Linked DNA regions of Coturnix japonica. The protein of the gene in region 6 purifies or fractionates together with the protein of the main gene of each other region. This does not show direct contact. Links are inferred from orthologs where the notes say so. Each region holds a gene or a part of one and is shown on either strand. Other genes may lie near its edges. The genes, in order: RAB3GAP2, PITPNM1, VCP, TACC1, STK3, VAPA and ACBD5.

What was found.
Region 1: the proteins of VAPA (region 6) and RAB3GAP2 purify together in Homo sapiens (affinity purification with mass spectrometry; 3 studies listed by BioGRID and IntAct, with this or other methods). This does not show direct contact. The link is inferred for Coturnix japonica from reciprocal best matches to the Homo sapiens genes VAPA and RAB3GAP2.
Region 2: the proteins of VAPA (region 6) and PITPNM1 purify together in Homo sapiens (co-immunoprecipitation; 4 studies listed by BioGRID and IntAct, counting the BioPlex papers as one, with this or other methods). This does not show direct contact. The link is inferred for Coturnix japonica from reciprocal best matches to the Homo sapiens genes VAPA and PITPNM1.
Region 3: the proteins of VAPA (region 6) and VCP purify together in Homo sapiens (affinity purification with mass spectrometry; 3 studies listed by BioGRID, with this or other methods). This does not show direct contact. The link is inferred for Coturnix japonica from reciprocal best matches to the Homo sapiens genes VAPA and VCP.
Region 4: the proteins of VAPA (region 6) and TACC1 purify together in Homo sapiens (co-immunoprecipitation; 4 studies listed by BioGRID and IntAct, counting the BioPlex papers as one, with this or other methods). This does not show direct contact. The link is inferred for Coturnix japonica from reciprocal best matches to the Homo sapiens genes VAPA and TACC1.
Region 5: the proteins of VAPA (region 6) and STK3 purify together in Homo sapiens (affinity purification with mass spectrometry; 4 studies listed by BioGRID and IntAct, counting the BioPlex papers as one, with this or other methods). This does not show direct contact. The link is inferred for Coturnix japonica from reciprocal best matches to the Homo sapiens genes VAPA and STK3.
Region 7: the proteins of VAPA (region 6) and ACBD5 purify together in Homo sapiens (co-immunoprecipitation; 4 studies listed by BioGRID and IntAct, counting the BioPlex papers as one, with this or other methods). This does not show direct contact. The link is inferred for Coturnix japonica from reciprocal best matches to the Homo sapiens genes VAPA and ACBD5.

What each region holds. Positions count from the first base shown.
Region 1 is NC_029518.1:16,350,785-16,354,432, forward strand, and holds part of RAB3GAP2 (rab3 GTPase-activating protein non-catalytic subunit), read left to right. Parts: coding exon 1-82; intron 83-1,101; coding exon 1,102-1,207; intron 1,208-2,302; coding exon 2,303-2,463; intron 2,464-3,024; coding exon 3,025-3,241; intron 3,242-3,594; coding exon 3,595-3,648. UniProt on the Homo sapiens protein: Regulatory subunit of the Rab3 GTPase-activating (Rab3GAP) complex composed of RAB3GAP1 and RAB3GAP2, which has GTPase-activating protein (GAP) activity towards various Rab3 subfamily members (RAB3A, RAB3B, RAB3C and RAB3D), RAB5A and RAB43, and guanine nucleotide exchange factor (GEF) activity towards RAB18.
Region 2 is NC_029520.1:567,504-571,768, forward strand, and holds the start of PITPNM1 (membrane-associated phosphatidylinositol transfer protein 1), read left to right. Parts: upstream 1-1,442; 5' UTR 1,443-1,702; coding exon 1,703-1,780; intron 1,781-2,548; coding exon 2,549-2,763; intron 2,764-2,834; coding exon 2,835-2,956; intron 2,957-3,792; coding exon 3,793-4,014; intron 4,015-4,109; coding exon 4,110-4,265. Other genes in the region: CDK2AP2 (cyclin-dependent kinase 2-associated protein 2), read left to right, coding at 397-466, 696-772, 869-1,001, 1,088-1,155. UniProt on the Homo sapiens protein: Catalyzes the transfer of phosphatidylinositol (PI) between membranes. Binds PI, phosphatidylcholine (PC) and phosphatidic acid (PA) with the binding affinity order of PI > PA > PC. Regulates RHOA activity, and plays a role in cytoskeleton remodeling.
Region 3 is NC_029547.1:7,814,832-7,818,221, forward strand, and holds the end of VCP (transitional endoplasmic reticulum ATPase), read right to left. Parts: intron 3,347-3,390; coding exon 3,038-3,346; intron 2,115-3,037; coding exon 1,959-2,114; intron 1,599-1,958; coding exon 1,444-1,598; intron 1,043-1,443; coding exon 937-1,042; 3' UTR 577-936; downstream 1-576. UniProt on the Homo sapiens protein: Necessary for the fragmentation of Golgi stacks during mitosis and for their reassembly after mitosis. Involved in the formation of the transitional endoplasmic reticulum (tER).
Region 4 is NC_029537.1:3,755,226-3,759,372, forward strand, and holds the start of TACC1 (transforming acidic coiled-coil-containing protein 1), read left to right. Parts: upstream 1-1,257; 5' UTR 1,258-1,272; coding exon 1,273-1,484; intron 1,485-4,147. UniProt on the Homo sapiens protein: Involved in transcription regulation induced by nuclear receptors, including in T3 thyroid hormone and all-trans retinoic acid pathways. Might promote the nuclear localization of the receptors.
Region 5 is NC_029517.1:115,653,804-115,657,451, reverse strand, and holds part of STK3 (serine/threonine-protein kinase 3), read left to right. Parts: intron 1-2,220; coding exon 2,221-2,413; intron 2,414-3,648. UniProt on the Homo sapiens protein: Stress-activated, pro-apoptotic kinase which, following caspase-cleavage, enters the nucleus and induces chromatin condensation followed by internucleosomal DNA fragmentation.
Region 6 is NC_029517.1:88,627,455-88,631,102, forward strand, and holds part of VAPA (vesicle-associated membrane protein-associated protein A), read right to left. Parts: intron 2,032-3,648; coding exon 1,928-2,031; intron 322-1,927; coding exon 241-321; intron 1-240. UniProt on the Homo sapiens protein: Endoplasmic reticulum (ER)-anchored protein that mediates the formation of contact sites between the ER and endosomes via interaction with FFAT motif-containing proteins such as STARD3 or WDR44.
Region 7 is NC_029517.1:14,463,870-14,468,067, forward strand, and holds the start of ACBD5 (acyl-CoA-binding domain-containing protein 5), read right to left. Parts: upstream 2,849-4,198; 5' UTR 2,714-2,848; intron 2,477-2,713; 5' UTR 2,437-2,476; coding exon 2,361-2,436; intron 1,374-2,360; coding exon 1,253-1,373; intron 1-1,252. UniProt on the Homo sapiens protein: Acyl-CoA binding protein which acts as the peroxisome receptor for pexophagy but is dispensable for aggrephagy and nonselective autophagy. Binds medium- and long-chain acyl-CoA esters.

The DNA.
Region 1 (3,648 bases), on a different chromosome or scaffold from region 6:
GAAGTGTTTGTGTGGAGAGAGTTCTGCAGAGGAGATATGTCGTGCGTTGGAGTCAGCAGGTTTTAGCCCTCAGATTTTGTTGGTAAGGTATTTATTACACACTTTAAAACTTTCTGGTTAAATGCTGAAATGGGGGGAAAAGAAGATAAAAAAGGAGTGTTTTATTTTTGGACTGTCTTTTCCATGTCCTCATACACAGCTTTTAAGTGCTGAGCTTAAATCTAAGCAACTTAAAAGATGTGAAAGGAGAAAAAAATATAGTAGAAAATGTGAGAATGTCTGAATGGCTCCAGATATTCTTTTAGAATTTTGCATGAGATTTATTTTACAAGGAGAAGCAAAAATAAAGTAGTTAATTGCAGTTACAGAGACGCTGTTTACAAATTCCTTGTTGAAAGCAATGAAATTTAAAAAGGAAAAGAAATCAAAGTAAATCTGTCAGAATCACTTGTGGTGTTGAGACAGTCATCTTTCTTTCATTTGCATGCAGTATTATTTGTTTGCTGCTTTTCTTTCTAATGCTTTCCAATGACTGAAATACATATTTAAATATTAGCTATCTTGTTATGATTTTCAGCTGTAATATTAACTGGGAATTTATTCTTTTTTTACCAAGTTAAGAATGCTCATACACTTGTGTGATCTGTCTGTGCCTTCAGAAGACTATTTGCCAGTGCATCAAATTGAAATATACTGATTGTATTCATAGAATCATAGAATGGCCTGGGTTGAAAAGAATCACAATGATAACCTTGTTTCTACCCCCTGCCATATGCAGGGTCGCCAGCCACCAGACCAGGCTGCCCAGAGTCACATCCAGCCTGGCCTTGAATTGCCTCCCAGATGGGGCATCCACAGCCTCCTTGGGCAACCTGTTCCAGTGTTCCACCACCCTCTGTGTGGAAAAACTTCCTCTTAATATCTAACCTAAACCTCTACTGTAATTGTATTGTTTCCCTTAATGTCTGCAAGATTCTGTCTTGCTCAGTACATTTTTTACTTCCTGTACACAGAACTTGCACAAGGAATTGTTTGCATTAGATATACTGCGTTACCAAAAAGCTTCAATCTGTTGTTTGAATTTTGTGTTTCTTTTTCTAGTCACTCCTTCTGAATTTATGGCTTTCCAAAGAAAAAGATATTCTTGAGAAACCAGACTCTACCAGTTGCCTTCACACTATGCTGACCCTTCTGAGCAAAATGAAAGGTGAAATGTGCATTAGGAACATTTAAACACAATTAATGCCAATTATTGTTGGTAATTTGAGTCTATATTATTTTGAGGTTTTCCTCCTCTTCAAAAAAAAAAAAAAAAAAAAAAAAAAAAAAAAAAAAAGAAAAAAAGGAAAAATAAAAAAAAAAAAAAAAAAGTAACAGGATTCAGTGTTTCATAATGATGATTTCTTTGGCATCTACCTCAAAAATATAGTTGAAGTCTGAGGACTGTTGCAGTTAAAGACATGCTTCATGCCTTGCAGTTTCACTCAGCTCTAAGTGGATGCAGCTAATATTAGGCATCAGAAGGTGGCTCTTCTGATACCTTCCCTCTGTTTCTGAGGTGCATGGATATGCCCCTCTCTCTTGTGCTGCTGGGTGCTCAGAAATCCTTTGAGTTGCATTAACTTGTGTTGAGACCGATGCTGTTGTTATTCTAGCTGTGTTTGTTCATTGAATATCTCTGTAGTTTGAGGGGTGATCTGTAAGGTCAGCTTTCCATTATTTTGGGTAAGTTGTATAATAAACAATCACTGATTCTCTTAGCTCATTGAGAGCTTCTATGGGTATGTTTGTGTCAGGTTCCTTTATGTCCAGTTCACCACAGGGTGTAATTATCAGCTTGCAACTGGTAGCATGAATATGTTATTGCTGTTGTCTGGACAATTTAATTCTGCTGCACGTGGAGAGAGACAGGTTGAGCGTACTGAATGTGTGGGACATCTTAAAATCACATGGAAGCTAGTTGTATTGTGAAGAGTTGTATTATAATATTCCTTAAGTCTAGTAGGTGCAGCAGGATTTGTTGCCTAGTGATTTAATCTGTTGCCTGCTTTCTATGAGTTAAACTTGGAGGAGTAATCCACATTCTTCCCCTAATTTTTAATAGAGTTGTAATCTAAAAATATTACGTATCATAAGAAAAAAAAAAAAAAGTAAAAAAAAAAAAGGTAACTTAGAGTAATTGGAAATGGCTCCTAATGCATGGTGTATCAATAAGTGCTGTTTTCAGGGTTGGTTACTGCTTTTACTAGTTCTAACACCTCATGACCCAAGCTGAGTTTTCTTGCTCTCCTTTTCTCCACAGTTGCCATCGATGAGTCCTGGGACACTCAGTCAGTTTCCCCCTGGTGGCAGCAAATGCGAACAGCTTGTATTCAGTCTGAAAGAAACGCAGCTGCCTTACTGTCTGCTTATGTTGGACATTCAGTTACCGCACAGATAATTGACAGTGTGACAGAGAAAAAGGTCAGTCATTGTGTTCTTCTCCCCTCAGCTGTATTCACTGTGTCTGTTTTAGGCAAACTGCTGTCCTTGTCATAGAGTAACACCTCTAATGTTCTGTTGCCATTCTAACATGGATACAGGCATATCATCCTGCAAGCCTGAAAGTCAGTATTTATATCTGAATAATAACGTGTTGAGGTAAATGAGTGATTTATCAGAAGCGTTTGCTATATGTACTATGTGGGAATTATACTGTGAATTTTTCCCTTGCTGTCAAATAATACTGACAAATCCTGTGCTGTTTTCAGACAAATGGAAGAATTATTTTCATTAAGTAGCACTAAATGTCTGAGTTTTACTGCTCGTCTTGAAAGACTAGATGAGGTTTAGGTGGTGTTTAAACTTGTAAATGGGTTGCTTTATAGGTCGTATCTAGACTGCTGGGAACTGTTGTAGTAATTCTCTCCCTTCATCTTAACTAATCCAATTCTGTATATTGAAATTTCCAGTGTTGCCCAAATAGGAACACTGGTACGTTGTAATGTATTATGCTTTACCCATCCACTTAATATGTTGTGTTAGTTTTCCCAAATAGCTGTAGGTTCAGACACAGAATCCTGGGAAGCACTTTCCCTTGATGCTGAATATTGGAAGCTTCTGCTGAAACAGTTAGAGGACTGTCTGATCCTTCAGACACTGCTGCACAGCAAAGTGAGCAAGAAGACAATAAAAGTTTCATCTCTACAGAGTGAGCCTTTGGGCAGGCTTTCTGTTAAGAAATTGCTGGAAGGTGGAAAAGGTAAGTTTTTCTCATGGAAGCATGGTTGATTGTCTTTGTTATGCAGTTCTGAGCCTTCCATATCTACTTTATGAAATAGGCTGCACTGGAAATTATTCTGCTGTTAACTTTTCTTAGCTTAAAAACAAAGCAAACCATGTATCAAAATGATAAAAGGTATTACTGTAAAGACTGGATTGTAAACTTCAAGTCAGTTGGTTAATGCGTTTTGGATTGGTAATGTTAAATTTATATAATTAACAGTATTAGTTAATAGCCATTTCTTTTCTGTTGTCCTTCAGTTTTGAACTTTAAATCTTCTGGGATGTACCCTGAGTGTATTTCAATACTTCTTTGTTGTTTTACTGTCCCAGGAGGTATTGCTGACACTGTAGCAAAGTGGGTTTTTAAGCAAGGCTTCAATCCTC
Region 2 (4,265 bases), on a different chromosome or scaffold from region 6:
CTCCGGTGTTGGAGCCCCGTGTCGGTGTGTTGGCAGCGCTGCCGGTTCGCAATGAAGCTGTGTGCCGCCGGGTGCCGTGTGCCCGTCCGTTGAGTGCCGGGGGAGGCCTCTGGCCCTCGCTGTGGGGGTGGGGGTGATGGGGGGGTGCAGGACGCCGCTGGTCTCCATGGTGATGGGAGCCCGGCGCGCCATGTTTGCGTATCGGCGGCGTGCGCCTCGTGACGTCATCACCGCGCTCCCCCGACAGCGCAGGCCGGCTCCCTTCGTGCCGTCGACCAATCGGCGCCGCCGGGTCGCTCCGTCTGACCAATCAGCGGGAGGTTGTGGGGGGGGGTCGCCCCGCTCGCTTCCGTCTCCTGCACACGGCGGGCGCCGCTCGGCCCGGAGCGCTGCGGGATGTCCTACAAACCCATCGCGCCCGCACCCAGCGCCAGCCCCGCCCCGGGGCCCGCAGCCACGGCCGCCGGTGAGAGGAGCCCCGGGGATAGAGCGGGGGTGGGGGGAGAAGAGGGCGTAAGGAGGGGCACGAGGCCTGAGGGGCGGCGGGGCCTAAGGGAGAGGGACGGAGAGTGCGGAGGGGAGTCGGGGCTGAGGGAGGGAGCGGACGGAGCTGGGCCCGAGCGGGGCCGGGCTGAGGGGTGACGGGCCCGGCCCCAGTGCGAAGGAAGGGCCGGACCCGGGGTCGCTCCCCGCAGCTCCCAGCGTCCCTTCGCCGTCCGCCTTCCGCCCGCTCTTCAACGACTTCGGGCCGCCGTCCATGGGCTACGTGCAGGTGAGCCCGCGGGGCAGGGGCACGCGGCGGGAGGGCGGCGTGGGGCGACGCTGAGCCCCCCCCCCTCCGTCCTCCTCGCCTTCCATCCCCTGTCAGACCATGAAGCCGCCCGGCGCTCCGGGCTCGCAGAGCACCTACAGCGACCTGCTGTCTGTCATCGAGGAGATGGGCAGGGAGATCCGGCCCACCTACGCCGGCAGCAAGAGCGCCATGGAGCGGCTCAAGCGGGGTAACGAGCCCGGGGGGCGACCCTCTGTGACCCTCCCCCCCCCTTAAGCCCGGAGCTCAGTGCTCACTCATATCCCCCCCATTCAGGGATCATCCACGCTCGGGCGCTGGTTCGGGAGTGCTTGGCCGAGACAGAGCGCAACGCCCGCACGTGACAGCAGCCCCCCGACCCCCCCCCCCCCCCCGAGCCCCGCCGGTGGCTCCCCCCGAACGGGGCCACCCCCGGGGCTCCCCCCGCCCCAACCTTCCGGCTTTTATAAATAAAGGACGTGCTGCATCCCCCCCCTTATAAAGGAAATCCTCCTTCCAAGCCCCCAATTCCCCATATATACCGCTCCGTTTTAATTTCCCGGTCCGCCGCCCCCCCGCTTCTGACGTCCCCTCTGACGTCACGCCCCCCCCCACGCTGTTCCACCTCCTGACGTCAGCGGGCGCCCCCCACGCCGTGACGTCACACAGCGCGGGGCCGGCTCAGAGCGGCGCAGGTTCGGAAGGGGCCGAGCGCAGCCGAAGGGAACCGAAAGGAGCCGAAGGGTGACGGAAACAGCCGAAGGGAGCCGAGAGCGCGGCCGAGCGGGCGGGGGGCGCGTTGCTATGGCAGTGGGGAGGGCCCGGCCGAAGCGGGCCGGGCCGGGGCCGGGTTAACGGCGGAGGGCCGCGGAGCCCCCCCCACCCCTCGCCCCTTCCCCTAAACACGGCGCCATGCTGATCAAGGAGTACCACATCCTGCTGCCCATGAGCCTGGAGGAGTACCAGGTAGCGCAGCTCTACATGATCCAGGTGCGGATGGGGCCTGGGCTGCGGCCCGGGGGGGGGGGTCGTGTGGGGCCCGGGATCGTGTGGAGCCGTGGGGGGGTGCAGGAATGTGGGGCTTAGGGTGGAGGTCAGCGGGTTCGAGGCTGAGGGATATGGGGGTCAATGTGGAGCTTGGGGGGTTGAGGATGGTCTGGGGGATGGAGGCGTCTCTTATGGAGTCTGGGGGAGTGCAGGAGGATGAGGCAGAAAGTGAGGGTTAGGGCTGAGCTGGGGCTATGGGGAGCTATGGAATTATGGGGCTGAGAGAGAGGGGGTTGGGGTGATTCAGAGCTGGAGGGGGCTGTTTCTGGGTAGTATGGAGCTTGGGGGTTGTATGCGGTCCTGGGAGTTGTGTGGGAGCCCAGGGCTGAGGGTGGAGATTTGGGGCTGAGAGGTATGGGGTGAGAAGGGGTTGAGGGTGGGGGTCAGCGTGTTGCGGGATTGGAGATCTGAAGTGGTGGGGGTTAAGAGTAATAGGGATACGAGGGCAATATGGAGCCTGAGGGGTGCAGGGATGCAGGGTTGGGGGCTGAGGAGGGTGCGGGGTTGGGGGCTTGGAGTTGTTGTGGAAATAGAATGTGGAGGCATGGGGCTGAGCCTGTTTCTCAGAGTGCAGAGTGGGGGTCTTGGGAATAGCTATGGGGCTGAGGTGGGGGTGCAGGGTGAGGAATGGGGTGTGGGGGGGTGGCGTTAGATGCCTGGTAAGATGCCAGGGTTTGGGGTGCTGGAGCTCAGCTCACCCTCACCCTGCAGAAGAAAAGCCGTGAGGAATCCAGCGGCGAGGGCAGCGGGGTGGAGATCCTGGCAAACCGCCCCTACAGCGATGGCCCCGGTGGCAGCGGGCAGTACACCCATAAGATCTACCATGTGGGCTCCCACATACCCAGCTGGTTTCGGTCAATATTGCCCAAGGCAGCTTTGAGAGTCGAAGAGGAATCGTGGAATGCATATCCTTACACCAGGACAAGGTGGGACCCCATAGGAATGTAGGTTTGGGGGCTGTCCGCTGGGCTCAGCCTCATCCCCATGCTTCCTGTAGGTACACCTGTCCCTTTGTGGAGAAGTTCTCCATCGAGATTGAGACGTACTACCGGCCAGATGCCGGCCAGCAGACCAATATCTTCAATCTGAGTGCTGCTGAGAAGAGGCAGAGGATCTTAGGTGCGTGCAGCGGGGGCAGGAGGCAGGATCTGGGGCTTTCTCTGCTAACCTTGTGCTTTAGGGACAGGTTAAGTTATCCTTGGAGGGGAAAGTGCCCGTACCCTGAGCTCCCTGCCCAGTCCTGAGGATCAGCTGGAGGCAGGGAGCTAAGGAATTGTGTCCCCATTTTGTCTTCTGCTTCTCCTGCCCCCCAGGACTCTGCACAGTGTCGTTCCCGTTCCCAGCCCCCCTATGCTGGGTACCTGGGGCAGACTGTTCCCCCCAGGGACACGTTTGTCCCCCTGTTGCTGCCTGTTCCCATTCCTGGCAGTGTCGACACGGTTGTTTTGGGCGCTGGAGCGCAGCGCGTCATGCTCTCCTCCTAAAATGGAGGCCTAAAATAGGCACTCGGAGGAAATGATTCATCTGACCTATTTCTCTCATTGGCTCTCACAGCATTGGGGATGTCCGGCTGGGATGCTGGTGGCACGGCCAAGGCGGAAGACAAATTTTGTCCCTGCTGCCATGACCAGCAGGCAGTGAGCAGAGTTCTGAGCTGCCTTGTTTGGCCTTGTCCTCTGCATCCCACCCCCACCCCCCCGTGCCCCTGGGGTCACTGCTGTCGTTCTCCAGCTGCCAAATCCCCATGCTAATGCGCCTATGTGTGTCAGCCCAGCTCTTAGCCTCACCACCCCCCCGCCTCCACCTCTTGCTGCTGCTCCTTGAGGCAGCGGTTCTGGCCCCCGTGTAAGCACAGAGGCTCAAGGAGACAGAGGGGTGTCCCACCTTGAGCACACAATGTGTGGTAATGATTTGCTGCCAGGCTTTTTCCTCACCTTTTTCTCCTTCTACCCCAGACACCATTGACATTGTGCGTGATCCCATCTCCCCTGGGGAGTATAAACCTGAGGAGGACCCCAAACTCTACCGCTCAGCCAAGACAGGCCGGGGCCCGCTGGGGGATAACTGGTTGGAGGCAGCCAGCAGCGGGCCGCTGATGTGTGCCTATAAGCTGTGCAAGGTCGAGTTCAGATACTGGGGGATGCAGTCAAAAATCGAGCGTTTTATCCATGATGTTGGTGAGCGTGGGGCGATGGCGGTGAGCCCAAGCCCTGTGGGGATGGTGGGTTTTTGGTAGGTGGGGGCCGTGCCTTGCTCACTCCCCCTGCTTCAGGCTTGCGCAAAGTCATGCTGCGTGCACACCGCCAGGCTTGGTGCTGGCAGGATGAGTGGACTGACCTGACCATGGAGGACATCCGGCAGCTGGAGGAGGAGACGGCGCGGATGCTGGCGCAGAAAATGGCCAAGTGTGGTGAGGCTGAGGAGCCCT
Region 3 (3,390 bases), on a different chromosome or scaffold from region 6:
GAGCCTGGAGCCCAGCTGTGGGCTACAGGGCCACGACACGGAGCTGCTGGCCGTGGGAGCGATGGAAGAACCCGGCCGAGCTGGCAGTGCTGCCCTGATGGCATCCAACCCAGGTGGTGCAAGGACACACAGGCACAGCGCTGGGACGGGTCTCTGAACTAGGACAGAACACCCGAGCAGGCTCTGCCTCCCAGGGGCTCCCACCGCCGCCTCCTGCAGCCACCAGCTGCTGGTTGTGCTATTTAAGCACTGCTCTCAATTTTGGCTCCTTTTTCCAGTCTCCCCTTTTCCCCTGGCTAGCCCCATCCTTCCTGCCACACTGCGATTCCTCTCACCCCTCATTTCCTTCCCTTTAAGTCCAGGTCATCTGATGGTGCCCTTCTAAATGTCTTTACAGCCAAATCCCCATGGAACTGCCCAGCAAACCTATGGGCACCCTCATTGCTCATTCCTATGCACACAATCCCTATTTACTCATCTCTGCAAAAACCCCAATCCTGCAAGCCCCGGAGAGAGCACACAGCTACTCTGTGCTTCTGACAGCCTAAACACAATCAAGGAATTGCAAGAGCCCAGTTAGAGTTTTGTGGGATTTTATTCTTTTTTTTTACTATTATTTTTGTAGGGTTTTTTGTGTTTTTTTTTTTAATACAGGCTAGCGTTGCACCCTTTGCTAAAGCTGCTGATTCTGCCACATAAACTAGAACAGAAATTTCTCAGAAATTAATTCGGATCCCCTTCTTGTTAATTCACTGTCTGCTTCACAACTCAACATCGGTCTGGATTCGTGTTTGCAGAAAACATCCCCTTTACAAAGTCTGGCGTGCACCTACACTGTTCTGACTGAGGAATGAAGAAGCCAAGAGTCCATTGAACGTTGGATTTTCCCTGTACAACGTGGCCTGATCTGGAGTTTGGTCCACTGAGGACAGTGAGTTAACCATAGAGATCATCGTCGTTGTCTTCACTGTACACGTTGCCCCCGCTGCCACCTCCTGTTCCTTGACTCGGCCCAGCGCCTCCCTGGTTGCCTGATGGGAACCTGCACACAGCAGGGCAGAAGGGAAGAGATGCAGTTCAGAAGCATCCTCACAGCTCAGCACAATCCCCTCCCTCCACATCAACACCCTGATGCCAAGAAGGAAAATCAGGAGAAATGTGAAGCTTATGGCATGTCACGATAAGGCTCATGGTGGGGCCAGATGTTGCTTGCTTTAAAGGAAAAAGGGTTGATGGGCTTCAGGAGCACTAACAGAGCACCTGCACCTGGCCTGCAGTGCAGCTTGTACCCACCACAGGCTCAGCTGTCTGTATGTGCTGGGGAGAACAGGAAAAAGCAGTGGAAGAGGGATTGTTTTCAGAATACACCAATCCTGCCCTCACTCGGCGCTCTGCTCCTGGGGCTCACCACGTCACACTGCCCTCCCCACTGCCCTCAGTTACCTGAAGCTGCCAAAGCCGCGGCTCTGCTGTAGAGTCTGTGCAAACATCTCGTATTTCCTGATGTCGTTGTCGCTGACAGAGCGGCGAGCAAAGCGCATGGCCTCCTCAAAGTGATCCCTGCGGATCTCAGGAACCGGGTCGTCCTCCTCCACTTCCTGCAGCAGGACAGAGAGCTGAGATGAGCCACGTGCAGCTCAACACCTGCCCACACCTCCCTCGGGGTCAGGATGCATCAATACCCACTGAGGCAGGGGCTAGAGAGGGATGCTGCAGCACACTGACTCACAGCTGCTGCAGGGGCCTGCTGAGCAATGCCAGTGATGAGGCACCATAGGAGGCCCTCACCCTCCCACAAGAAGAGAACAAAGTGCTCCAGCTCAGCACTCTGTGCCAAGAGCCTACAGCCTACTCGTCCTCATCTGAGGATTACTGAGAGAAACACATCATCCCTCACCCACAGGCAGAGGTGGGCTGCCTATCTCGTAGGCAGGGAAAGCTCAGAGTGCCCCACTCACCATGGCAGAAGGGTTGGTCTGCCTCTCGCGTTCTCGTCTGATCTCACTCTCAATGGACTCTCGGATGGCCAGTTTACAGGCACGCTGGCAGATTTCTGTCAGGTCAGCCCCCGAAAAGCCATTGGTCATCTTGGCTAGGAAATCCAGGTCAACATCCTGGCAAAAACAAAACACAAGAAAAGCTTTTACACTTTGTACTCTCAAATGACAAAGAGGTGCCTTGAGATCTTACAGTAACAAGGCGCTACCTCAACTTTGGCCAGTAGGAAGAAGGCAAGCTGTTAAGGCTCCTGTTCCTGGTAGAAGTATGCTACACAGTAGGGCAGGCCGTGCTTCCCCCCACACCCAGCAAGAACCTGATACGTGGCTACAAATGTCCCCCCTCTGTTCCACCTTCAGTAAGAGGTAGGCTGACTTGAGGATTTCAGCCACAATTGGTTCAGATCTCAGCAAAAGAAATCAATGGAACCGTTTCAGACTGGAAATGGAGATGGGGCAAAGGGAGATAAAGAGGAACATCCTCCTCCCTTCAACTGACACAGTGGCACTGGAACCTCCTTTGAAGCTTTCCTTCCCAACAGTACTCAGAAAGCTAAGCTTGGCCTAAGGACGTTTGTGTGCTCACTTTGCATCTGCTTTTCTCTAATACGTTCTATCAGTTCATTATTGCCTGCTCCCTAGGCAAGGGATATAACTTTGTCTATGAAAGAGTTCAGCAATTAACTGTAGTGGTTCCTCTTCAATTTTCATTTCCCACCCCCGTTTTCTACATTTACTTTTTCAGAGTACAAGAATCCTTTCCATCTTGCCATAACAGGCATTTCCCATTCCTGCACCGTGGGCAGAACTCTACTATGTGATAAAGACCTGCTGTGCGTACACACTGCTATCTCGCTGCACTGGTACTTAGTTTTAGATCTCAAGCCTATCCCTACCTCTTCATTTCCATCTTTCAGGAATGGAAGGTTTCCAAGCTCTGTGTGTAGCAGCCACCAACCCTCTGTTTGCCCCCAAATCATTGGAAATATGTGCAGCACATAGCAAAATCAAATCAGATACAGCATCAGCACAGATCCTACCTTAGCAACTGGTGATTTCCTCAGGTTGGCTTTAAGAATAGCAACCCGGGACTTCTCATCAGGCAGAGGGATGTAGATGAGTTGATCCAGGCGGCCAGGGCGCAAGATGGCTGGGTCAATGATGTCTGGCCTGTTGGTAGCACCAATGATGAAGACGTTCTTCTTGGTGGACATGCCATCCATCTCTGTCAGGATCTGGTTGATAACACGATCTGCAGCACCACCACCATCTCCAATATTCCCACCTCGAGCCTTTGCAATGGAGTCCAGCTCATCAAAGAAGAGCACACAAGGGGCTGCTTGGCGGGCCTGTAAGGCAAACAGGAACAATTACATACCATCAGGCAAGGAAC
Region 4 (4,147 bases), on a different chromosome or scaffold from region 6:
CTCCGGGGACAGGTGGCAGAGAGTGACGGTGCTGGGACGGATCTGTGCTGGAAAGGTAGGAAAAAGAAGGGAGCTGAGGGCTGAGTGCTTGGCAGAAGGATGGAGGGAGGAGGAAGCAGGGAACGAGGTGTCCCCGGGCAGCCTTGGTGCGGAGATGGTCACAGAATGATGGTCCCCAGCAGCCCCTTGTGGCAGCTCGCCCTGCTGCCCGCTCTCGTGGTGCTCCCACGTTCTCTGCATGCGCTCAGTGTTGTGGCTCTGTTTACGTTGCTAAGGAGGAGCTGTGTGAGCACCCTGGGATGCTGCGTGCCGGCGTGGGCACATCGGGCTTCGTGTTGCACGTCAAACTGGGTGATGAGTTGCTGCTGTGGGAGCCTCACTGATGCTCTCTGTGCTCTCAGACCTGAGAAAACGGCAGCAGGAGGAGGGTTTGGGCACAGAGTCCCTGCATCAGGGCTGCTGAAGTGGTAACCCACCAGTCAGGCAACTTACAGCCCAGTGCTGCAGCTCTGGGTGGGTTTGGGGCAGTGCTGTTTGGATGGAAGGCTCCATTGAAGTATTTAAACACAGCCATGTGACAGCCACAGCTTTGAGTCACCGTCCTCGGAAACCCCAATGGAATTCTGCCCTGGGGTGGCAGCGAGGGCTTGCAGTGCCTCCTTCCCAGGAACATGGAAATTTCCATGGGATTGGCCTAAAGCTGATTATTCCCATCTGCTGCCCCTCAGTCAGCAGCCAACCAACAGAGCCGAGCACACAGTGTGGGGCACATCACCCGCTACGGGGACAAGATGTGCTGTGCATCACGATGGGCCCACGGGGCCCTGGTGCCTTCCTGCAACCCAAGCACGCCAGCATCAGGCTGGTCAGGAGACTTTGTTTTCATCCAAGGAAGGTTTTCTTTATAGCTTTCTTTTTTTAGGAAGGTGAAATCTTGCAACGGTGTCAACACTTTTCTAGCTGAAAAATAGCACAACCCAAACCAGAGCACTAAGGGAAAAAAAGGAAAGGTTGAATATGTGAGTTTTTCTCAGGGCTCCGTGGGCGTTGGATGCTCAGGTTGTGGGTGCGACCTGACGGTGCTGTGCTGAGGCTGCGGGTCCAGCAGTGCTGCCCTGGGTTGTCAGCTTGGAGCGCGGCTTTGAGTGCCGAGGGTAGATCGGAAAAGCAGCTCGTGGCTGCACGGAAAGAAAAAGGAGTCAGACAGACAGGCAGGAGCCGTTCCCTCTCGGTACAAACTCGTGGGGCAGATTCCCATCGGCGCCGGGTCGGATGCCGCCGCTCCGGGTCCGCCTGCGGTGCGGTGCCGAGCAGAGCCGTGCCGTCCACTCCCCCGCGGAGGCGGGGACGCCGTCGGGGCCGGCACAGCGCAGCGGTAGCTCGGTCCGGCCCGGCCCGGTGCTGCCCCACACGACCCGGAGCTGCGGTCCCGCTATGGGGGCGGCTCAAAGCCAGAAACAGCGGGACGGCTCCGCCGAGCGCCGGTGAGTGCGGGACCGGGGGAGAGAGAGAACCAGACCGGGGCTGATCCCGGTGCTGGGGATGCCACTGCAGTGCTAAGGGGTAGAGTTTGGTTTGGAAACTGCAGAGCAGGAGGAAAGTGAGAATGGAGTGAGTGAGTGAAAAGCTTTCCTTTCCCTTCCCTCTTGTCTCCCTGCTTTCAGTGTTCCTGACAAAACAGGCTGTTTCCCGTTTGTTGTCAGCACACTGAGTTTCTCGGGCTGCAGCTCACCCCTGCATTGCATGGCATAAATCACAACGCGAGGAGCCAGGAGTGCAGTTAAGAAAACAAGGTGTGGGGTTTGGAGCTGGAAGCTGGGCTGTAACCGGGAGTGCTGTGAATTACCGACGGAGTTTGGGAGCTGGGAACAAAAGAAAAGCACGCTGAATTGTGATCAAAAGGCAAACCGGGGAGGCTTATCTTAAAATCAGCCCGAACACTTAATGGAACACAGGAATGTTTGCTCCCACTGAGCCGCCCCGTGGTGCAGAAATAACTGCTCTCGGGAGGTTTGCTGCTGTTCTGCTCAGCTGGAAGGCTCTGGGGGACCTGGAGGGTCCGCAGTGCTGCAGGTGAGCGGGGAGCACCTGCCCTGCTTTGCTTTGCTCCGGAGCTGTGCTGGGCTGTATGGAGCAGGTGCCCTCTGCTGCTCCTCTGAATGTTTGCAAACATTCCTCTGTGAACAGAGGGAAAACAACTGCAACAGGGAAAAACAGGAATGTTCTGTCCTCTGCTGCTCCGCAGCCCTGCCTGTTATTTCCTTGTATAGTTCTACTAAGTTAGAGGTGTTCCCAGGCAGAAAAACCCAAGGCATTGTTCCAGGGCTGCACTGGAGCAGCGCTGGGATGCTGCAGGGCAGCTGTGCTCCGTGCATGGACAGCAATGTGGAGATGCTGCCCGTGTTTCACAATATCTCCAAGTCTGAACTAAAATCCAGCAGCCTGACAACCCCCTGATAAGAGCATTCTTGCCACATAGCAGGGATATTTTTAGCAAAGGAGTGGATAGGGTGGATAGGACAAAGCCAGGAGGTGAAGGAAGGTGCTCGTGTTCATACAGCATCGGTCAGAAATCACAAGTGAAACTCACACATTTCAGGGCTGTTTCTATTGAATTGTTTTGCATGAGCTCATGTCCACACGACTGGGATCAGTGAGATGAAGCCCTGCACATTGTTTGCAAAGCGCAGGACAAGCAGCGTGCTCCTTTTCGCATCGCTCCTTTTGAAAGCAGCCATAAATGCTTGCACTCATTGGCCTGACAGCTGCGTGGTGGGGAAGGACAGCTGGAGCTGGGGGGCTGCTGGTGCTGTCAGGCTCATATGTGACAGTTGTGTCCTTCACTGCTATTTTTACACAGCTATTTTGGTGGAATGTGGAACGATGGGAACTGTCACAGGGATGGAAACCTGGGGCTGCTGCACCCTGGTTGCTCTTTTTCCCTCCCTCTGCGTTTTCCCAGGGCCCTTTCTGACTTAGGCAGAGTTCTCCTTGGCTGGTCTCCCAGCCCAGGTAGGTGAGCTGCAGATGAGAGTCATCAGCATTGATCTCTTCAGCATCACTGCACAGGTCAGGGAACATATTACAAAACAACATCCTCCCTAGCGTTTGCAGGACAGTCCTTGCTGGGCTATACAAAGCTTTGGGTAGTTTTCCTCATTCCCAAAGTTGGCATTTTCACAAGGTAATGGCCTGTGCTGAGCCCAGGTGGGGTGACAGCAGTGACACAGGCTGTGTGCTCAGTCTGCCCTTCATTCTGCTTGGAGCTGCTGGCAGCTCTGTTTGGAGCAGGTCAGCATCCCCTGCAGAGATGCATCTGCAGGCTGTGCCCGAGCCATAGTGTGACTGATGCAGTCAGGTTATCTCCTCAGCAAATGATTTGCAGCCAGTGCTGCTGCCAGGCTGGGTTGTGCGCCAAGCTGGAAAATGCCACTGGAGGCGATTTCAGTATTGCTCATTGCAGACAGCAGGTGGAAGCAGGCTCTGCTCGTTAGCTGCTCCCAATGAGCATTCATCTCACTGACCCCACTCCTGCTCCTTCCTCTGAGGCTGCTGGGAGTGGGGCCCGCTCTGTGTGTTGGTGCACAATGGAAGGATGCTGCTGATTTCCTCCATTGGATGTTGCTGATTTCCTCCCACATCCCCCGTACAACAAGTGGGTGCTGCTGCAGCAGCAGCATCTGTGCCATGGCTGATGCAGATCCCTGTGGCAGAGGCATCGTGCTCCCACTGCTGCTCCTCTGCCCTTTGCATTTCAGTTTGCTCCGTGGCATCCCTGCAGCTGTGAGCCGCTCTATGGCGCAGCAGTGCTGTCACTCCAGTGGAGTCTTTTGGGTCAGCAGCGATCTGTGAAGTGACTGATGGGAAGGGGAGAGGGAGGAGGAGGAGCTGAGGCTGCAGCCAGCTCTGCTGCAATGTGCTGCGTGCTGCCGTTCACAGGCTGAAGAGGCTCGTTATGTAAAATTCATCCGCAGAAATCAGCCCTGCTGCTTCAGATGGGGGGGAAGTGGCTGCTTGTTTCTGCTCGGCACAAAAGCAGGCAGGAGGATGTTGAGGTTCTGCTGCTTCAGCCTCTTGTTTTTCTGCTGATAAGCTCTGATAAGTGCTGCAGGCCACTCTGCACAGGGCAGAGGTTTGCAGGGCTCAG
Region 5 (3,648 bases), about 27 Mb from region 6:
TCTTTAGGAGTATCTTGAGTTTTTAAGGGTATGGTGCTACACAGAGTGTTTTAGTGTGCAGGTTAGAAATGAAATTTAAGAACTCTGAAATATTTACAAATTATAATGTGGGAAGCTATGATTCTTTTGGTATTTGACAGTTTATTCAAATCTGCTCTGTATCCTGGTTTCAGCGTACTGTGTTGTTAGCTAGATTCTGAATCCAAGTGAGATCTGTTTTTGTGTCTCTGGGCCAAGACATAACAGAACTTGTTGTAGGAGCTGGTCTATTGGTACTCTTACTAAATATGGTTCTCCATACCTACTTTGACTACCCATTTGTGAAACAGGCACTCATACAGTGTAGCTGCTCCTTGCAATTCCATTTGTACAACAGGCAAGTTGTGTGCCATGTCAGGGAATAACAGGAAGGGAAAAGAGCTAGTTCAGTGAGAAATAAAAAGGGCCAGAGCTGGAGAATTGGGTAACTGGGTTTCTTTCTTTCTGCACTCCTTACAGGTTGTTCTGTAGTTAAAATATGAAGCATATTTAGCAAAAGGAAAAATTAGTTTTCGGGTAAAATCTTGTTTTAATGTTCTGTGTAACAACAGGCATGTTACTTGTAATAGGCACATAATAATGTTACCTGATATTTTTATGATATGAGCATACTTTCCTAACCAGAGATATTTTGTATCAGGATGCAATTGAAGTTCATTTACAGTAGAGAGAATGTGTACATACATGACTGTTTTCAGTTGGATTGGGAAGCTTATAAAATCAGTGAACATAGTATTTACATGTAAAATTTCGAAATTTGGCATACAGTGTCTTGACAGCGGTGGGCATTATTTCTTGTTTAGTCAATGAGAGAAGCATTAAAAATGTACTCATGTAGAAAATGCTTGTATGCATTCATGAAGTGCTGTGCTGTTGTGCACATGGTTGAAATCAAACTGCAAAAATGAATGGCATTTCCCAACACTATTTTCAAATATTGATATTCCATATAAAATTAATAATTCATTAACTGGATGGTCATTATTTCTCTGTTTTACATTCCTGGCACATCGATTCAAAATCATAGAATCGCAGAATGGGTTAGAATGGACCCTTAAGATCATGTAGTTCCAACACCCTGTTATAGGCAGGGACACCTCCCTCTAGACCAGGTTGCTCACAGCCCCATCCAGCCTGGCCCTGAATGCTTCCAGAGAGTGGGCACTCACCACCTCACTGAGCAACCTGTTCCAGAGTCTCACCACCCTCACAGTAAAGAATTTCTTCTTAATATCTAGTCAAACTCTACCCTCATCCTGTTTAAAACCATTTCTCCTTGTCTTGTCTCTACATAGCCTTCTAATAGGTCCCTCCCCAGCTTTCCTGTAGGCCCCCTTCAAGTGCTGGAAGGCCACTATAATGTCCCTCCAGAGCCTTCTCTTCTCCAGGCTGAAGAGCCCCAGCTCTCTCAGCCTGTCTCCCTAGGCAAGGTGCTCCAGGCCTCTGATCATCTTCATGGCCCTCCTCTGCACCTGCTCCAACAGCTCCATGTTCCTCTCATGTTGGGTGCCCCAGAACTGGATGCAGTACTCCAAGTGGAGTCTCACAAGAGCAGAGCAGGGGGGCAGAATCACCTCTGTTGACCTGCTGGTCACCCTTCTCTTGATGCAACCCAGGATATGGTTGGCCTTCTGGGCTGCAAGCACACACTGACAGCTCATGTTAAATCTTCCATCAGCCATCACTGCCAGATCCATCTCCTTGGGATTGCTCCTATATTTGTGCTTGGGATTGCTCCTCTTCATGGTGGTCTCTCAAGACAGGTTGTTGTCAAGATACTAGATAAAAAACATATTATTTAGTTAAGGGTGATAGCCTTGGTGTGATGATCTGCTTCAAAACAACCAAACAAAACATGTTACTGATTTTTAGTCCCGGAGAAGTGTACCGAGTCCAGAAGATCAGTGAGATATTCAAAGCTGGGTATAAAAGTGATTGTGTGGGACATGTTTCTGGTAAATCAATAGCGCTATAAAGCTGGCATAGGATGAAGTTTTTTCTTTTACCGTTATAGGTTGCCTTTTATTTTCACATTCTTTTGGTAGTATTAAACCTGTTAGTCTAGCAGTATAGCTAGGTCATGTGAAGAGATTAAAAAACAATGAATAAGCATCTAAATTATTGCATCTTAACTTGGTTTTCTGAAATGCTCTGCTGCATTCTGACCAGTGTTTCTTTTAGGATGAAGATGAGCTGGACTCGCACACCATGGTGAAGACCAATTCAGAGAGTGCTAGTACCATGCGGGCCACAAGCACGATGAGTGAAGGCGCTCAGACAATGATTGAACACAACAGTACCATGCTAGAGTCAGACCTGGGGACCATGGTAATAAATAGCGACGATGACGAAGAGGAAGATGGAACCATGAAAAGTATGTTTTTTGTTTACTTTCCTTTTCTGTTAATAATGCATTGTGTTTTCTCATCTTCTGTGAGAATAGTCTACCATCAGTGTCCTTTAAAAGTCAAGTTCGGTGGTTAAAAGTCAGGGAGAGGGCTGTTTGTTTCTATAAACACACTTTGTTCCTTATTGGAGAAGAGCAGCTATAGTGGGAGATTCAAAGTACTACACTTGGCTTTAGTATTTTGATGAGTCTTTCTGGAGGACTCAAACAGTAGCCTCCTGTGAATTCTCCCTTCTACTACCTGTCACTTGCATTTTGCCTCCTGTCCTGCATCCATTTGAAGCAGCTCCAAGGAGCTATACTCAAATGGTGCGGTTGTGTGGGGAGGTGTTGTTTCAGTGTTAGTGTTCCTGAAAACTCATTGCAACGCACCGTGGATTCAGCAGTAAGTACTGCAGATCTTGCTGCAAAATTATTTTGTAAATTCATGGGCATTTGTTAAAATTTAATTTGCTAATGCATGATTTAAGGGAATGGCCAAAACATATTGAAATAAATTAAGAAGTCAAAATCAACTTCAGTGGTGTGAAAGATTATATAACAAAGGGGGGGGGAAAAGGATTTCAAATGATGAACTTGTCAGTTGGACTGAGATGTGTATAACGTGTTTGTTAGACAGCAAACATACGTGTTTACATTTGATCTGTTTGTTACTTGGCTGAAGACTTCCCACTGATTTTAAGTTAAATCATTAATTTGAAAGGGCAGCATCTATAGGTGATGCTGTAGCTTTAGTGCTTGATTCTATGAGGCACAATTCAATGCTTAACTCCAGGCAACTGTTTAAATAAATTCGTTTTATGATTTATATCAAACAAGATTGCATTTCTGTTTGTGTGCAAAAACCTGCTATAATTTGGTTGAAAAGATTGTTTGGAAGTGTAAATCAGGTGCGTTTTCCTTGTTGTTGAATGTACAGCAAATTGGGAGGAGAGGAAGATGTGATCACTTCTGCTTTTTTTCCCTCTTTGTTATTTTGTTGTTGTTGTTGCCTTGTTTTTTCCTTCAGTGTTTGTAGCAATAAAGCAATCGACTTGTTGATTAGTGTTTAATTTGAGCAGGGTGATTCACCTCATGCAAACAGTGCGCGCTTTAATTTGTTCTTATGCTGACACAGTATTTTACCTATTAAACTGTGAGGGTAATGGAGGGGTAGATCAAGTGATCTTAGACTAACACATTTCAGCAAGTTAAGGAAGTGA
Region 6 (3,648 bases):
ACTAATGTGTTTGCACTACAACACGCAAACCATGCACAAAGAATATCAGTACTCATCCTGAAATTTAACGTAGTTCACCCCATATCTTGTTATACAACCCAGTCATTCGTTGTTATACAACCCAACCCATTTAATTTAGTAGGTTCCAACGATTCATTTAACCAACAAATCAAACAGCTTTAAGAAAAAGTTTCAAACAAGTTGAAACTTGTCTGGTTTTTTTACTCTTTTCTTACTTACCAGTTTATCATTTTCATTGGGCATTTCAAACACGCATCTCAATTTGGAGTCCATCAACTCATCAGGTTTTGCTTCTTTCCACTAAAACAAGTAACACAGTTATTTAATAAGCCAGTCGCACACAAATCTGAACAGTTCATAAGCCTGCAATTACGGCTTCCCTATAACTCTTACAAAACTGAATACTATCCTTGCCCAGCTGACATTTTCAGACTTGCTTTTGAACACTTTTTGTCCACCTTTGACTACTATAAAAGTATTAAAAGCCAGACATGGCTCAACTTAAGCCTGAAAACGGAATCAAGTCAAGTGAATGTCAAGGCAGATCCAGATATCTGTAGGACACAATCAGACATAGAGCACCATCTGAGTTGGTCTATCAATGCTCATTGCATGTGTTCCTCACATTCTATCCTGGAAGCACCCACTTTAAATAAATTACTGAAAGACACTTTTAGGGATTCTATACTTAGCTCCACAGTAAGTTTCTTTAGTTCTCTTTCATCGTTGGCATTAACTGCACACTAACTCATATCTATTATTACTGATTTTCTGCCAGATTTGTTCCTTGATATTCTTTACTTCAACACACTGAGAAAGCCACTATTCGAAAGGTATTTCTAAAATGGATTTTTATATTCTCACCAAATGCTTGATGCTTCACTTCTCACACATAAACAGGAGCTATCAGAGCATATTAAAATAAGTAAACCAGACAACAAAGAGGAGAGACATTATTTTTGTAGCTGCATGCCTCAAAAGCTTAACAAAAACTTTTCCAGTGTTTTCAGTTCAGAGAAATACCACAATAATCTTTGCCTTCATACATATGGGAAGTGAACCTAAGCCTGCAGAGGCTTAGTGGATTTTAATGATTCATAAACCTTATCTTCACTTTGTTTACCTTCTCCTCCTCTGCCTTCAGTGAGCATGGAACTGCATGAATCACCATGTGAACTCAGGGAAGTGTTTAGAAACAGGGGCCTGTGCATCATTCCCCTGGACTCTGATATATACAAGCTCATGGGAGCCCATGTATACTCTAATGAGCAAGTTCTGCAACTGAAGGACAGCATTCCAATTGCTTCTAAGTTGTCCTTCTGAATTAAGAGGCGCAAAACTAAATATGCTCTTTCTGGATCTTTCATCAGACCAGTCCCACCCAAAAACAGAATACACAACTCATTCTACTAATAAAGAAAATAAATCTATCATTTGAGCTGCATGTAGCCACTTGGTGTCTTTGAGAGAGGCAGAATAATCCTTCAAATGTTTTGGTTCCTTACAATACCATTCAACTTTTCAGATAAACGCTTCTTAGTCCAAATGTACCCATTCCACACAACTTCAGGCTTGCCGCTTGCATATACCCTTGATTCCTTTAAATACAACCTATTTATTCCCTCCCAATGAGCTGCAGACCAGATACTATACAACAGTAACTAAACACTGAACAGACCTTACCTCTGATTTACTAGTACTTTGATTTAAACAGTTCAATAGGCAAATTCTGAGAACTGAGCTTGTATTTAGTATTAAAAACCCTGAATCACTTATGGAAATGGTATTTGTTCAGAGGAAATTCAATTTTCTAAAACCTAAACATTTCAAAATGTGATTCACTTAAAGTTAAGGCTGATTTTAAAGAAACAATCCAAACTAGTCATACTATCCAATTTTTACTTACCACTGCCTCCATATCTGAAATATTTGGTGGTGCATAGATTGTTTGTACCATAAACTTGTGTTTACTCTTCTCGTTTGGGTCATAGTCAAAAGGCTGCAGCATTACTGTTCAAAAGAGTAAAATAAAACATTTAAGAACATGATCAAATCACTCTTAAAAAAAAAAAGAAAAAAGCTATACATCAGATTCTCATTGACCAGACACCAAAAGTAAAGATGTGAAGGGAACATTGAAAACACTGTAGATACACACTGTAGCAATAAGTAATGAGAGGAAACACCTTAACAGTGTAGCTTTAAAGATTCTTTCTCCACCTACTATACAAGAAGACATTTAGGATACAAGTAAAAACAAATACATCCTGTAAGACAAAGAGCAAATAAACACCGTAGGATTTTCCCTTGGAATAAACACTTTGTGACCGAGTGAATGCAAAGGTAAAAGAACTCTGGAATGAGTTCAACAACTTCATGGCATCTACCCAAGGGAGAAAGGGAAGAGAACTTACATTAGGCTAGCCACCAACCAGTAGAAGCTCAACTGACTTCTACAGGCATACTGATCTAAGCTAGGAGCAACTACTAAAATACTTAATTAAAACCAGAAGTATTAAAAGAAGTAATGCTGTCAAGGCCTTTAACAGTTCACTGTAGAGAAGTTTCAAATTCAGTTCTTAAAAGATAAAGTGATTAGTTGAGAATAACTAGAAAACACATTTTATACAGGTTTTGACATTATTATCCTTATGTCCAGCCTAACAGCTAACATTTGCCTAAAAGTACTCATAATCCATGTATGCATTTGAATTCTACATATTACCAGCGGAGAAAGAGGGAATTCAAAACCAAGCTCTCTGTAAAGGCAGCTGCAAGTGAAAGATTAAATACTTAAAATACAGAGTTCGTACTACAATTACCAGAGATAGAATATACAAGGGTTATTTTTGTGACAGGACAATTTCTGAATAACTGCTTTCTGAAGTTGAAAATTCTGTTGGTCAAGAAGGGAAATTCACATTTCAAAGTTGTTATTTTGAAGTATGCACAATTTCAGTGGAAAAATAAATAATATCAACGTAATATTATTCATAATCTCAATTATTACTACACTACTACGGTATTTTTAAAGGAATGCTTCAATTACAGGAGTGCAGAATCTTCATCCATCCAAACTGTACAAAGCCATTAGGAGGCTGCTTTCCTGTTAGTGAAGGTGGTTTTGTTTAGAAAACAGCCCAGAGGGGAAGCCAGGTCACCCTGGTGTCATTATTTTTGTGGTTTCTTTAGTTCAAAGTGACTGAAAATCATGTCTCTAAATTAGACCAGAACATTATAGGATGTAGTTGCCTATCTATAGGAGTAATGGGCACAGTATAAGGAATATCTGAGCATACCAGGTTTGTCATAGTAACACTGTAGGACTACTGAAGTATAAGGATGAATAGATGACCAGCACAGTCTGCCTCCACTGAGCAGACCATGAAAGACAATTAGTCTCAATCCAGACAGGGGTCTAGACAATAAGAACTTTAAGAACTTCCAGCTTTCTACCAGAGGATGATGACCCAGAGCGATCTGTAAAGATAGATTATTTGACAATGCACTTAAACTTGAGTCTCACTGAAATTAAACTCAAGTTTAGCGCATCTTCATGTAAAACTAAGATAAATGCAAGTAATTCAGATAAAATGAATTATGTACTTATGGAGTCCTATGAACGGG
Region 7 (4,198 bases), about 74 Mb from region 6:
AAGAAAAACTTAAAAAAATAAATAAATTTAAAACTACCCATTGCTGTTAGGTCCAAATTTGTAATTTACTCAGATAACTGAAGTAGCGAGACATACACACAGAAGAAACAAAATGAACAGCCTGGGGACTAAACAGCTCCTCGCTAATTAACCATGATCTTGTGCCCAGTGATGTTGTTTACAAGTCCAGATATTATGGAAAACACACGCTTCCCTTTTGACTGACTTAGGACCCTCTACAACAGAAAAAAAAGTAGTGCCTAATACTTAGCTGGTACCTACAAATATCTGTCACAATGTCAGTCAATGTCAGAATACGCTACAACAAGAGTGTTGTCCTTTGCATATGAGTTTAGCAACAAAGATGCACCTGTCTAATAGGCAAATAATTTAATCGCTGCCCCCAGCTACCACCATATTTAACTCATGACCTAGAAAATACCTACCTTTCCAGTTCTGCAAGATGGAAAGTGTCAATCAAACTTTTTAGCATTGCAGAAAGAATGCCAGAACACAAGCTGAAATAAAGCATTTCCTTACCCAGTAGTGCACTCATTTTGACACTATCCTTACCTTTTGCCAGACTACTTGTCCCACTTACAGCAAAACCTCAAGGCTGGGGGATCACATTTCAGCCACCAACAGCCAGATGAGTGGGAGCTTACTGCCCCAGTCATGCAAACATACCTTCCCCCCAATTCACAGATCCCAAGAAGACCCTGACCATAGAGACAGCAGTAATTGCGACTTTTCAGGAAAAATTATTAAAATAACTTAATTAGAGGAGAGTTCATACGGGTTCTCAAACAGATCTTCACAGCGCTCAGAAGGCTTGTAATTGGTCAAAGAAAACACAATCAGCTGCAAGTCCTGTCACTGAGCACATGAACCAGGCACAAACTAGACTTCACCCCAAGAGCCTGAAGCTGTATCAAAAGCTTTCAGTGAGCATCTGTTTACTTCATGCTCACATTATATAAGAAGGAAGAATTTCAGACACTGTTCTACAGTCACACTCTGCAGACTGCCTGGTTTTGTTTTACAGTGCTGATATACACTGCGGAAACATTACGATGGTTTATAACCCCCCCCCCCCAGAAAAAGAAATCTGAGAGAGAAACACAAGAAGAAAAACAATAGAATATCAGAGATTTTAAAAGAAAATGGAAAAAAAATATATTCCTTTTAAGAATTATTCTTTTTAACACCTCCACCCAAGCATAGGAAGAAAAAAAAAGTCATGAAAAGTTACCATTTATATCTACCAATAGGATCCCAAAATCCAGGTCTTGGAATGTTACATGGTCCTTGTGTTGCTTGCTTATAAAAGCTATAGAACTTCAGCATCATTTCATTTGTTGGCTGGAAAGAACCTAGTGAAAGCATTTTAAAATACAATTAAAGTGTAATCAAGTATTTTAGCAAGTATTTTGTAAGCCTAGCATTTCTGTCAGAAAACAGCCTGCAGTTTATTCTGGCCTCATTCACAGCAGTGCAGTTTAAGTCAATGAAAAACATCTTCACTTCATCTACCTCGAGTCACCACGCTGACAATATTTACTTTACAAACAGGTAGCAAGCTGCAGATCAAATAAGGGACTATAACCTTTACTGCTTCTAACGTCAGAATCCACAATTAGCAAGAGGAGTAATAAGTAACAAAGAGCAAGGCTCCTTTCACTTAGTTTAAAGGGGCAGATTCTGCTTCCAGGAATGAGTGTGTCAGAGGTCATTTTCATATGGCAAACAGGGATCTACCAAAAGACTCCAGAATGTAGAGCAACAATAACTCCTCCCGCATTGCTTCTGTGTACTTGTTATTTGACGGAACTTCCAATCACAACTTCATCGCTCTTCCATGTTTTCTTCTCTCCTCTTCCTTTGCAGAGCAAACATTTGTAGGGGTAGGAAATGTAAACACAAAACTGCAATAACTGGCAGAGAAAATTCATACTTACCCCTTTAAAACAAATATTCTGGATTTTTGTCATTAAGGGATGTCAGCAATGACCTTTAGTCCCAGCTCCAGACAAACCCCACATTACTTATCACAGTAACCAAGAGGATACATTTTGACTTTTCACTCCGCTGTTTTGTTAAACATTTCAGCAGAAGAAACCCATGACATCAGCTCCCAAACCAAGTCAGGACCTGAGGAAGGCCCTTCCTCCGCTTTCCCCGCACAGAGCAGCGGCCGGCACGGAGCCGCAGCCCCCTCCTCCGGGAGGAACTTCTATTCCGAGTTCGGAAGGTGCCGAACTGGCGTTTCAGACACGGCCCCGCTCCCCCCAGCTCCCTCCGCCGCACAGACCCCAGCCGGACACCCCCCCCCCCCCCCGCCGTCCCCCGGCCGCACTCACCATTTTTGGGCAGGCTCTGGATCACCTTCACGGCCGCCTCGAAGCGGGTGGCGTGCACGGAGCCGGTCTCCGCCATCTCCCCGTCCCGTCCGTCACCGCTCTGCCGCCGTGCCGGGCTGTGTCACGGAGCGGTACCAGCTCAGCCTCCCCCGCCGTGCCCGCAACACGGGCAGGGGCAGCAGGCGCCAGGCCGCCACCCCACCGCCCCCCGGCGGCAGCGGGTGCCCGGGCCCGCCCCGCTTCCCAGCGCTCCCCCTGCGGCGCGGTGCAACACACGGAGCTGCGGCCTGGCCTCGCCTGCAGAGCGAGCGCGACCCCCACAGCCCCCAGCACGGCCAACAAACCACCCCTACCTTCTCCCGTTGTTAGGCGCCCATGTTATGTCTCCCTCAGCAGCGCCCTTCCCCTCCCATCGCACCGCCCCGGGGCCATCCGGGGCTGGCTGGGAAACGTAGTCCGCCGCCGCCCGGCTCTGTGGCCCGGTGTGTGGCGCTCGGCTGGTTCCGAGCCGCCGGCAGAGGCCTCACCCCGCGGCCTGTCCGTCTGCTGCCGCCTCCAGCTGCGGGATGTGCGTGAACGATCTCAATTACTTACATTTAAAATCCCATTCCTTAATTTTTTGAAGCCTAGAACCATAGAAATAGCTCCTGCTGTGGTGTTCGGAATGAGTGCTCTCGCAATACGATGAGCCACCTCATAGCTAAAGAAATGCCCTTCCTGCAAAGCACTGTGCATCCAGCACACGAGATCAGACAGAAGTATTCTAAAACTGATTTTGTAGCAAGTGGAATGGTTTACCCAGTGAGCCTCATGATGTATTAATAACACCTCCACACAGAGCAGAGTACAAAACCTTGCCATTCCAGTTGATTCCTATATCTGGTGCACAATAAAATGTATTTTAAATTCTTCTTAAGGCAGTTGCACACTCACAGTATGTGCCCTCTGGTGGGAAAGCAAAAGCTCCACGGAGAGGGAATTAATGCAGATCAGCCCATGCTCTGCTGAGCTACTTTGTTCCACAAGGTCAGCAGCCAGCTGGGCGGGGAGAGCTTTGCTGGAGAGCAGCTTACACTTTCAGAGGTGTTCGGATAGGATTCCCTGCACTGAGCAAAGGACAACCCCGAGTTATGAACATCGCTGCTCCACCCACATGGATGTTACATTTCTACTGCTAGATTTCTAAAGCTATTATGTGTTTTATACCAATACCCATCTTCCTTTCTATCCACAAAGGCAGGAATGACAGAAACATGGATCAAAGGGAAGTTTGATGGTAAGTGGGTCTCTGTATAAATATGGATTCTTTCAGCGTGCAAAGCATTAACTGTAAAAAAGTAATATGGAAACGAAGGCCCTCTTGTGAGGTCAGATGATGTGTAAATTCTATTTACCTGAGAAAATCTGTAATTACATTTGCCATTTAATTGATTTAAGAGAAACGCAGTCTGCGTTTTTATAATGAACATTCCCAGACTTTCACTGAAAGTGAACTTTAAAAGAGATGCAAATGACGACCTGTTTAATGGCTGTGTGCAAAACAGAGGCCGCCATCTTTGCACTGAAGATGTGCAAGAACTGCAAATCCAGAATGAGGCACTTGAAAATGAAGTAACTCAAAATAATCAGTACCATCATGCTCTGAGACATGGGTGAAATATTAAATGAGAGGCAAATTATGAGTGCTGGTGAGCCCGTGAGAACACATCAGAAACAACTATTTAATTTAAATGCTTGTATATTATATTAACTAGCATGACATTAGCTGCCCTTATGTGTACATATTGTATTCTCAGTGTAATGAGTTCCATGTAGAGTTAACAACAATTGGATTTGGA